3 linked regions of the Yarrowia lipolytica genome follow. The protein of the gene in region 3 interacts with the protein of the main gene of each other region in a pairwise test. Links are inferred from orthologs where the notes say so. Each region holds a gene or a part of one and is shown on either strand. Other genes may lie near its edges. The genes, in order: YALI1_A02974g, YALI1_C05423g and YALI1_B28744g.

What was found.
Region 1: the proteins of YALI1_B28744g (region 3) and YALI1_A02974g interact in a two-hybrid assay, tested with the Saccharomyces cerevisiae proteins (2 studies listed by BioGRID). The link is inferred for Yarrowia lipolytica from reciprocal best matches to the Saccharomyces cerevisiae genes LAS17 and LSB6.
Region 2: the proteins of YALI1_B28744g (region 3) and YALI1_C05423g interact in a two-hybrid assay, tested with the Saccharomyces cerevisiae proteins (4 studies listed by BioGRID). The link is inferred for Yarrowia lipolytica from reciprocal best matches to the Saccharomyces cerevisiae genes LAS17 and LSB1.

Annotation. Positions count from the first base shown.
Region 1 is NC_090770.1:295,347-299,101, reverse strand, and holds the start of YALI1_A02974g (uncharacterized protein), read left to right. Parts: upstream 1-1,622; coding exon 1,623-3,755. Other genes in the region: YALI1_A02977g (uncharacterized protein), read right to left, coding at 1,081-1,271, 1,315-1,339. UniProt on the Saccharomyces cerevisiae protein: May play a role in endocytic and/or exocytic pathways.
Region 2 is NC_090772.1:540,837-543,870, forward strand, and holds YALI1_C05423g (uncharacterized protein), read right to left. Parts: upstream 1,553-3,034; coding exon 635-1,552; downstream 1-634. Other genes in the region: YALI1_C05494g (uncharacterized protein), read right to left, coding at 2,094-3,034. UniProt on the Saccharomyces cerevisiae protein: Involved in resistance to EDTA.
Region 3 is NC_090771.1:2,873,425-2,876,780, forward strand, and holds YALI1_B28744g (uncharacterized protein), read left to right. Parts: upstream 1-1,032; coding exon 1,033-2,739; downstream 2,740-3,356. Other genes in the region: YALI1_B28735g (uncharacterized protein), read right to left, coding at 1-101; YALI1_B28766g (uncharacterized protein), read left to right, coding at 3,216-3,228, 3,281-3,356.

The sequences.
Region 1 (3,755 bases), on a different chromosome or scaffold from region 3:
CACTTTGTAAGACATCAACAGACTACAAGTAGAAGTAGTTGAAGCTACAAAGTAGTTTGGGGTCTTGAAACGCCGTTGTTCAAATTGTTACATCCGTACAGTACCGCAGAGGAATTCACTAGACACCCCCTATCTTCTCCCCTTTGAATATGGGCTCTAATCTCAACATTTAGTCATGATTTGTAAGAAGTAAGCCAGTATACACAACGAAGGTGGCCGTGTTTTGACCATTCATGTAATTATAGTCGAGTGAATGACATCATAGTGTCATAGAGCCATAGAAAAGTCAGCATCAGTTCGCCTTGTTCACAGATCCGAGAGTACCTTCTCAAGGAAGTCATCTCTGGCGGGGTAAGCTCCACAAATTCGTCTGTTTCGACCATTTGAGTGACACCTTATCGCTCGTACGGCACCGGTGCTTGTACAATTGCGCGTGTCGATGAGTCCGTCGGTGACAGTTGCACTCCAGTAGGTACGAAGCCAAGCACAGGATCAGATTGTTCTCACCTCGCCATCTTAATCTGTGATATGCGACCTTCCACCTGCCACCTACGGCTAGAACGACTTCCCCTTGGCTCCAGTGACTCGTTCTGATTTCAGAGCAGCTTGCAGTCGTGTTACGAGTATGTTAGCACAGGATCGTATGTACTGTATGTGATCGCCAATAATGTTAACTACTACCCAAGTAAAGTGGAGGAACGTGTCGGAGTTTAACAGAGAATTACTTGAGGATATTATGCTGTTGTTAAGAGTAGAGCCTTCGACCATTTTCAATTGATATGGTAGAGTAGGAGACATCACAAATCAAATACCCAAATGTCTGAATCAAATAACAGGGACGTCTGCATCAATCAGTCAACTTATACTACCACTTGCCAAATAAATATTGCCTGAAACAGACATGTTTTTTATTTATTATTCTAGGGACTTTCCAAGCCTAACCTGACATACCCACTCAATCAATGCACTTTTAGGGCACGGCTAACCTCTAGGCTAGCGGCTTGGCACCCCTGAGTTCCGAGCGAGTTACAATTCACGGGTCCCTTGCAGGCGCCACAAGGGACGCTGAAGGCACCAAAATCAAATTAATCGAAAAAACGACCCTTTTGGCCGTCGCTGGCGGTCTTTTCTCGCAGCTGGAGACCCCAGGTGGCGAATACAGGCAGTCTTAGTGTGGCGTTCAGCAACCGACGTCATGCGGTGTAAGGAGAAATGAGGGAGGGCCTCGCTAGTGCGATAGCGTGATTGGAGCAGCCATTTATATGAAACCGCTTATATAATTGATCTCCTGAGCGGGACACATGTCCTCGACACGGCTGTCAGCCACACACGTGCACATATATAGCTGTTTATTAGCCCTTGAGCCCCCAGATCACATGTCCAAACACGCCAAAAAAGTTAACTTTTGGATACACCCAGGCCGCAGGGTGGTGCATATAATTGTCAACCGGAGCAGGAGAAGGTGGTACCAAGCACTTAGATACACCTTCACCGAGACGGCTCGAGGACTGATATTCGACAAATTCACGGCACTGCATACACAAGCGTCCCCCACCCTCACGAATTTCCGGAGACTACAATATCACTCGCCTTGTTACTGCCGGTTGTGATACATCTGCAACATGTCACCAACGAAGAAAGCGACGAGGCCGACGAGTGGAGGCTCCAACGGGGCGGCTTCCAACGGCGACGTCACCGACGGAGACAGAGTGTTCAAATCTGGCTACGACCGACTAGCTAGTCTCGATCGGGAAGCCGCTCAGTCGGCAGAATACACTGAGGAGGGAATAAGCAACAACGAAACACACCGAACTCTGGGGATCCAGTCAGGACGCTTGTCGGTGGTCACCAAGGACCTGATGCCCTCTCCGCAAATGCCTAATGCCTCCGATCTGTCTCCCAAGACTTCTACACCAGCCCATCATTGGGGTACTCCCGGTACCCAGCTGGTTCCTAATGAGTTCAAGACGCCTGATCAGTTGACGCATTTTGTGGATCTCGAGTCCAACCAGCAAAACAACTCGGATCGAGACTCGCTCGCCTCGGGATCGTCCACATGGATGGGTGTTTTCTCTCGAATCGGACGAAAACTATCTACAGCATTTCCTGTGCGACGACCAGACCGCAACCCCGCACAGGAACGGGCAGTCGAAATCTACTACTCCGTCTTCAAAAACCTGCCAGAATTCGAGTCCCGACAAATTCTCGATACCTCCGAAGAAGATTACAACTCAGCGGTGCATTTCGGAGAAGTCATTGAGTCGGTGATCGAGGCCATTTCGCACGGAATCTTTCCCAGACTCATCGCACAGGGCTCCAGTGGCAGCTACTTTGCCTACAATGAACACCATGAAGTTGTGGGTGTATTTAAACCAAAGGACGAAGAGCCATATGGACCTCTGTCTCCGAAATGGACCAAATGGCTACACCGAAACTTGTTCCCATGCTTCTTTGGACGCTCCTGTCTCATTCCAAACACCGGATACATTTGTGAGGCCGCGGCATCGCTATTGGACCGCAGACTGCAGACGGGAATCGTCCCTCATACAGAGATTGTCTATCTCTCCTCCCCAACATTCTACTATCGATATTTTGAACGTCGACGGGCCAAAAATGACGCTCGTCTACTGCCACGAAAGCCTGGCTCATTCCAACTGTTTCTGCACAACTACGAGGAGGCCGATGTGTTTTTTAGAAAGCATCCCTGGCCCGACAAACGACGTCAGCAGTACGGAGCTGCATCGGAGTCGGACATTTGGACCCCTGCCGTTCAAAAACAGTTTCGTTTGGAGCTCGAGAAGCTCGTGATTCTCGACTACATTATGCGAAACACAGATCGAGGTCTCGACAATTGGATGATCAAGCTGGAGTGGGTGGATGCTTCGTCAGCCCATCCGCAATATCACTCGCAGGGCTCCCCTTCACGAGGTGCCACACCCCACTCTTCTCATTCTCCTATCAAGGTGCCTCGACTCAAGATAGGAGCCATTGATTCGGGTCTTTCGTGGCCCTGGAAGCACCCTGATGAATGGAGATCGTATCCGTTTGGCTGGCTCTTTCTTCCGCTAGAACTTATCGGTCAGCCATTCTCCAGAGAAACAAGAGAGCACTTCTTGCCGCTCTTGACATCTCCCCGATGGTGGGAACAGACCTACGTGGAGTTCCGAGACCTTTTCAGTGTCGACCCCGACTTCCGGGAGCGCATGTGGAAAAAACAGTGGGCTGTGATGAAAGGTCAGGCCTTCAACGTCGTTGAAACGCTCAAGTCTCATGACCAGGGCCCTCTAGAGCTTGCCCGGAGAGACAAGGTGCTGATTTGGGACGGAGAGATGGACATTCCCGTTCGAATTCCTATCGAAACACTCAACTCAGCTATTGGAACCCCTCTGCTGAACAGAGCTTCCACTCCATCGAACATGCATTCCCGGCAATCCAGTGTTGACGAGAACATGTTGTTGCCTGCTCTCAACTCGTTGTCTGTGTCGCCAAACAAAAATCAGAGCCTCAATAGCGACCAGGTTCCACTCCTATCCTCCTACGACAACGCTTCGTCTTCAGCAGGACCCTCTACTGCGCCAGCTACGGTTCCTAATCAGAAACTGCGGCCTTCCAAGGGCTCCTCGCTCAGTCTGGAGGCCAGGTATAGAGAGCTCGAGTGTTCTAGTCCCACCAAGAAGAACGCCGTTGCATTTTCCAAGCGCCACGGAAGACGTCAGAGTCTGTGGGACGAGCTCATCAGTGAGAATGCCACCAGC
Region 2 (3,034 bases), on a different chromosome or scaffold from region 3:
ACCATCTTTAATCCCTCCCACCAGAGAGATTCATACAGCGCTGTATAAACACTACAATAGCCCATTCAGCGCTCCAAACACTCTTTAGTTGCTTGGTAAAGCTTTCAAATTGGGGATTCTCTTTCTCCAAGCGAAGTTCCGAGGAATTATCAATCAGCTTTTCTTTTTCGCATTTTCTGGACTCTCAAATACACTCCTTCGTATATCTATGCACAGTGACGTGACGGCGTGGGGGCCAAATCAAAAGAGTGTGCAGGCAGCAACAGACTAGACCATACAACACAATAACAAACAATGGTACAAGTAGACGCCATGACCATGTTCCTATGACAACAGTCAGTCAACTCCACCTACGAACGCGTTTCGTACAAGTACAGTACGAGTTCAAGTAGTCGCACAGCCCACGATTTACCTCAAGATTGGACCCACAAGAACGAGCCAAACTTAGGAAGCTCGGGAGGGTTCAGATCTCCATGTTCCGCACGTCTCGCTCATGCCTGATCGATGCAGGTCTGTAACCTCCCTCTGATTGAGAATGGAGTCCCAGATGGTTAATTAGCTCACTTTAAGAGCCTGGCAATGGTCTGTCAACAGACTAGGCAATAAATATATTCTCTATGACGTTACTTCGTGATTAAAAGATAGAATTGATGAGGTCTCCACCAAGGGTAGCTCCAGCACCAAAGATGGCTGCGTTTCCAAACTTTGAACCAATGCTCTTGAGATGGCCTCCGCCACCCTGATGCTGCTGGCCCTGCTCCACAACCACAGTCTGCGGAGGAGGGGGCTGGTAGTATTGCTGCTGCTGCTGGCCCTGGTAGCCTTGGGGAGGAGGAGGTTGGTACCCTCCCTGGTATCCCGGGGGAGGTGGGGCCTGGTAGCCATACTGCTCTGGGGGAGGGGGGTTGTACTGTGTGGGAGGAGGAGGGTTGTAATGGGCGGCGGGAGCGGCGTAGTCCGGCTGCTTGTAAGAAGGGTAGGCCGACTTCTCGGACTTCTCCTCGTTCACGGCCAAAGAGGACACCGTGGGAAGAGTGGTGGTGGAGCTTGCCGCAGCCACAGACGATACAGTGCTCTGGGATCGGCTCACGGGAGGAGGAGCCATGTAGGGAGTATCAGACAGTTCCTTGACGTAGTTGGCAGGGAAGATTCCCTCCTTGCCACTGGGGCCTCGGCCCTTCCACCAGTCGTTGTTCAGCTTCTCGATGATGTCAATCTGGTCGCCCTTGACAAGAGCCAGGTCGGTGGGGTCCTGTGCGACGTAGTCATAGAGAGCCTCCACCTTGCCACCTGAACCAGCAGAGGCAGGATGAACAGCAACGGGAGGGGAGGGGGCAGCAGGGGTGATTTGAACAGCTGCAACCCGCTCAGTCACCTCGGCAATGCCAACAACTTGAGAACCAGGCAAGTCCAGCTTCTGACCAGGTGTCAGCTTTCGAGGGATCTTGTTGCAAATATCGTCATAAAGAGCCTGGGAAATCACCTCGGACTCAAACAGAAACTCCAGCTCGTTGTGGAGCGAAGTCACACTTCGGTTGATAACTGCCGCCATCGTAAAAGTGATGTAAAAAAACGCTAGCGTGTGCTGTGTAGCGTGGAAAGGGTGGGAGTGCAAGAGTACAAGTGGCCGAGAGATGGGTTATTATATGTACACTGTAGCCTAATAATTTTAGCACAGCCACTCTGATGGTGTATAAAAATCTGCGTGAATTTCCATAACACGTGACCGGCAATAAAACCAAGAAACACAAACAGAGCAGCAAATATATAAATCGTGTTTTTGGCCATCCTCCAGACAGGCGAGGGTCCCTGACGTACCGGGCTTCTAGAACCTCGAGACCCAGAATTTCAAAATACATAGAGTTCAGTACACTTCTTAATCTTGCATAGCCCTACTCGTCTTTACGACCGAGCTCAATAAACTATCAAGCAAGGCATTGTACTTATTGGAGACTACAACTACAAGTACAGTAATACTTGTACAATAAATGTACATATAAATATAATAATAAAAGGAACAAGATTTTTTATACAAAGAATTCATTAACAATTGACAATTTTAAGAGGTAGAAACCAATAGCTAGCTAACTAGCTTAGAAAAGAACAACCAAAATAACCATGCCCATCATACCAGCAGAGACACCATAAGTCTTCGCAGAGTTGGCCTGGGGAGGCAGGGTCTCACCACCAGGCGACTGGGGAGGTGCTTCACCTTCAGAGCCGGAGCCAGAGCCGGAGCCCTCAGAGCCAGAGCCAGAGCCGGAGCCCTCAGAGCCAGAGCCAGAGCCGGAGCCCTCAGAACCTGAACCAGAGCCAGAGCCAGAGCCGGAGCCCTCAGAACCTGAACCAGAGCCAGAGCCAGAGCCGGAGCCCTCAGAACCTGAACCAGAGCCAGAGCCAGAGCCGGAGCCCTCAGAGCCAGAGCCAGAGCCAGAGCCGGAGCCGGAGCCCTCAGAACCTGAACCTGAACCTGAGCCAGAACCAGAGCCGGAGCCCTCAGAACCTGAACCAGAGCCAGAGCCAGAGCCGGAGCCCTCAGAACCTGAACCAGAGCCGGAGCCCTCAGAGCCTGAACTAGAGCCGGAGCCCTCAGAGCCTGAACCAGAGCCAGATCCGTTCGAACCACCATCAATAGCACCACCGCCACCAAGTGTAGAAGTAGACATGGTAGTGAGAGGCTGAGAGGCGCCTGACAAGTTGGTGGTAGTAGGAAGTGGGCTGATAGTGCCGGAAAGATCCTCAGAAGCCAAACCTGTGGCAGTTGCCGAGCCAGTAACATCAGGAACCAGGCCAGTAACAGTAGCGGTGCCAGTAGCAGTAGCGGATCCAGGAATGTCTTCAGAGGCAAGACCTCCACCACCTCCAGAAGAAGATGTGATCTGAGATTCAACGGAAACAGTACCAGTTGCAGATGTAGCAGTGGGGACCTCAAGGGTGGCAGAGTCCAGTTCTCCAGAGTTGATTCCAGAGCCTTCTGTCGAGATGGGGACAGTGGCAGTAGAACCATTGTCACCAGTGAATGTAGGGGTAGATC
Region 3 (3,356 bases):
TCTCTGTTGTGCTGGACGTCCAGATTTCGACGCAGAGCGCTCCGCAATAGTTGCGCCACCGCGTCCCGGGCCGGATCAGGAGGCCCGTTGTTTTCGCTCATCTTCAGTGTTTGTCTTCTGTACCTTGGTTGGTGGCGTTGTGAGTAAGTGGATATGCGTGCCGTGTGTCGAGTGCTCTTTATATGTCCAGTCAGTCACCTCTGCCGTGTAATGGTGCAAAGTAGTGCTGACTCCTCAAGGCCAATTTTTTTTTCTTCAGACCTTGGAGTAAAGATGTACAAGCGCGGTAGTAGAGCAGGTATAATAACTGTGGAGCTTATAATTAACAATCTTGCTTTCATTAGTTCAATAGCAGTGACGTCAGACCGAAAGCATTCGGAAAATGAGAAGACAGGTCAGCCGCACGCTTTGTGATATGGAAATCAGGCCCAAATTTTTCGTCCATATTCCCCATGTCAAAATCACCATTCACCCATGTAATCCCGCTACTTGCACGTGCTGTACTTCTGCCACCCTCCACTCCATTATACAACCGACTCATAGAACAGTATGGAATGTTGGGTTTGGGATATCCCAGATTATGGTCCCGTGGTGTGGTCACGTGATGAAAGCTCAAGGTGGATGGGCCGATATGCAATGTCACACGTGACCCGGCTTATATCCCCCCCCCCCCCCCCCCCACCTCCACCCGGTTGTAGCCTGTACATGTTGTATTGATGCACTCTGAAAATCGCCGTTGGGAACAGCTTAACTCCGAGTCCATGGAGATACCACCACTGTGAGCCATTTAGGTGGCATCTGAATGTGTACATGAGAGAGGGGGCGGATAACGTAGCATATAAAACAGATTGTAGTTGAGGTTGAAAAAAACAGAAGATGGATTCACACTCACCGCAGCTTCAGTACCACTCTTATACGTTCAACTAAGAAATTACCGCACTTTTCCATGGTTGCTTACTAACACACGGGTCCTCCACGCATGCACTCCCACAGCACACTCTATCTCCATCAGCAACATCCACACACACCACCATGGGTCTTCTCAACTCGGCGGACAAGGAGAAAATCAAGCGAGTGGTGCCGAAAAACACCAACAAGGTGATTGACTGCACCATCGCACGTCTCTACATTGCCTACCCGGACCCTGATAACTGGCAGTACACCGGGCTGTCTGGAGCGCTAGCTCTGGTGGACGATCTTGTGGGCCACACTCTGTTTCTGAAGCTCATTGACATCCACGGGTCGCGAGGCGTGCTCTGGGACCAGGAGCTGTATGTTGGCGTCAACTACTTCCAGGACAGAACGTTTTTTCACTCGGTGGAGCTGGAGGACTGTTTTGCAGGCTTTCTGTTTGAAGACGAGTCCGAGGCCGCTCACCTGTTCAAGCGGATCCAAAACAGAGAAAAGTACGCCAGCAAGGATACGGTCAAAAACAAGAACGCCATTGCGCTGAAAAAGGCCGCTCCAGCAGAAAAGGCTGCCGTGGGACCCAGAGGAGAACCCCGTACTCGACTGGGATACTCGGGACCCGTCTACTACGACGACGAGCCGCCGGAAGAATGGCGAGCGCTGTACAGAGAGTTGGAGGAGCAGGGAATCACTCCGGAGATGATTGCCGATAACACCGAGTTCATCAAGGAACACATTCGACAGACGGGAGGTCCTCTGGTGGGTCTGGAACCTCCAATCCCTCGAAACAGAGGCCGGGGACGAAGCACGAGTAATGCCACTTCTTCTTCGGCTGATACCAATGCCCGAAAACCCCCACCGCCTCCTCCCCCAGCTGCTGCTGCTGAATCAACCCAAAACAACGACAGAAGAGCAGCTCCTCCTCCCCCGCCGGCCTCGGCTCCCCCTAGCTACTCTAGCACTCCAGAGCCCGACTTGCCGGCCACCCCTGCTGCTCCCTCCGACCCACCAGCTGCTGTAGCACCCCCCAGACGGTTCAATGTGCCGCCTCCCCCATCTTTCATGGGCAAAAACGCAGGTGCTCCGCCTCCTGCGGCAACTCCAGCCTCTCCAACAGCAGCAGCAGCCCCACCAGCGCTTCCAGGACGGTCGCTGCCGCCGTCGCTGCCCTCTCGTGGTTCGCCAGCGCCCCCTGCACTACCAGGACGATCGGTGCCTCCTCCTCCAGAACTTCCTGGACGAGCTGTGCCTGCCCCTCCCCCCTCTCTGCCGGCACGAGGAGGAACCCCGGCAGCAGGAGGACCCCCTCCCCCTCCTCCACCCAGAGACGGAGCCACTCCTCTAATCGAAACCTCCTTCCTCCTCCCTCCAGATCGGCCAATTCCCCCCCCCTGCTGCTTGCCCCAAACTGCATACACACCCCCTCCCCCTCCCTGCAGCAGCTCTTCTCCAGCGGCAGACTCAGAGCCTCATACACTCTTCCTCCTCCTCCTCCGTCCCCCGGCCTCAGTCGAGACCTGTTCCTGGAGTTCCTGGAGGTGTGTGCCCCTCCTCCTCCCCCCTCCGCCCCCCCGCCCTGAACTTGCTGCAGCTGGTGGACCTCCTCCACCCCCTCCGCCTTCTTCCTGTGGCTGCTCCCTTCTTTTGGAAGTTGCTGCTCCCCTCCTCCCCCCGGTCCTCCCCCAGCCATGTCTTGAGGTCCTCCTCCCCCTCCCCCCCTTCTGGAGACTTTGGAGTCACTCCTGGTCCTCCTCCTCCTCCTACCGGAGACGCTGGTCGAGACGCGCTGCTGTCGTCTATCACAGCTGCTGGTGGAATCGGCTCTCTTAAGAAGGTGGACAAGTCGCAACTTGATAGACCTTCGGTCATGCTGCAGGAGGCTCGTGGAGAGAGCCCTACCATTCCTTCGGCTGCCCCGGGAGCTCCTGGCGGTGGCAACTCGCTGGCAGACGCCCTGGCCTCGGCTCTTAATAAACGAAAGGGCCAGGTCAGTAAGTCTGACGACGAGTCCGACGGTGATGACTGGTAGTATAATGACTATGTAATTAACAGATGAAACGATGGGGCTACGAGCAAAGCGAGTATGTTGTCCATAGACATGGTGTATAATTGGTAGACGCGGTCACACCGTCTTCTGCTATCGTGGATCCAATGCTTCATAGCATCTATTGAACATCTACGATTGATAGTTAATAGTCTGATTCAGTTACCGTTTTGAAGCACGTCTTTTGTGTCACGTGACGGTGGTCGAGTCACGTGCTTTATTACAGTGAACACTACAAGTATTAATTTCTTGTTGCTTGTTTATGTTCTCTGACCGTGCAATTTGGATGTCCTTTGTCTTCACTTCAGACAATCCAATAAACAACAGTCACTCGCATTGTGGCTGGCGAATCTCCGGTTATTTCAGCCTCCGGGGATCTCGTATTGATTGCGAATGATAACGT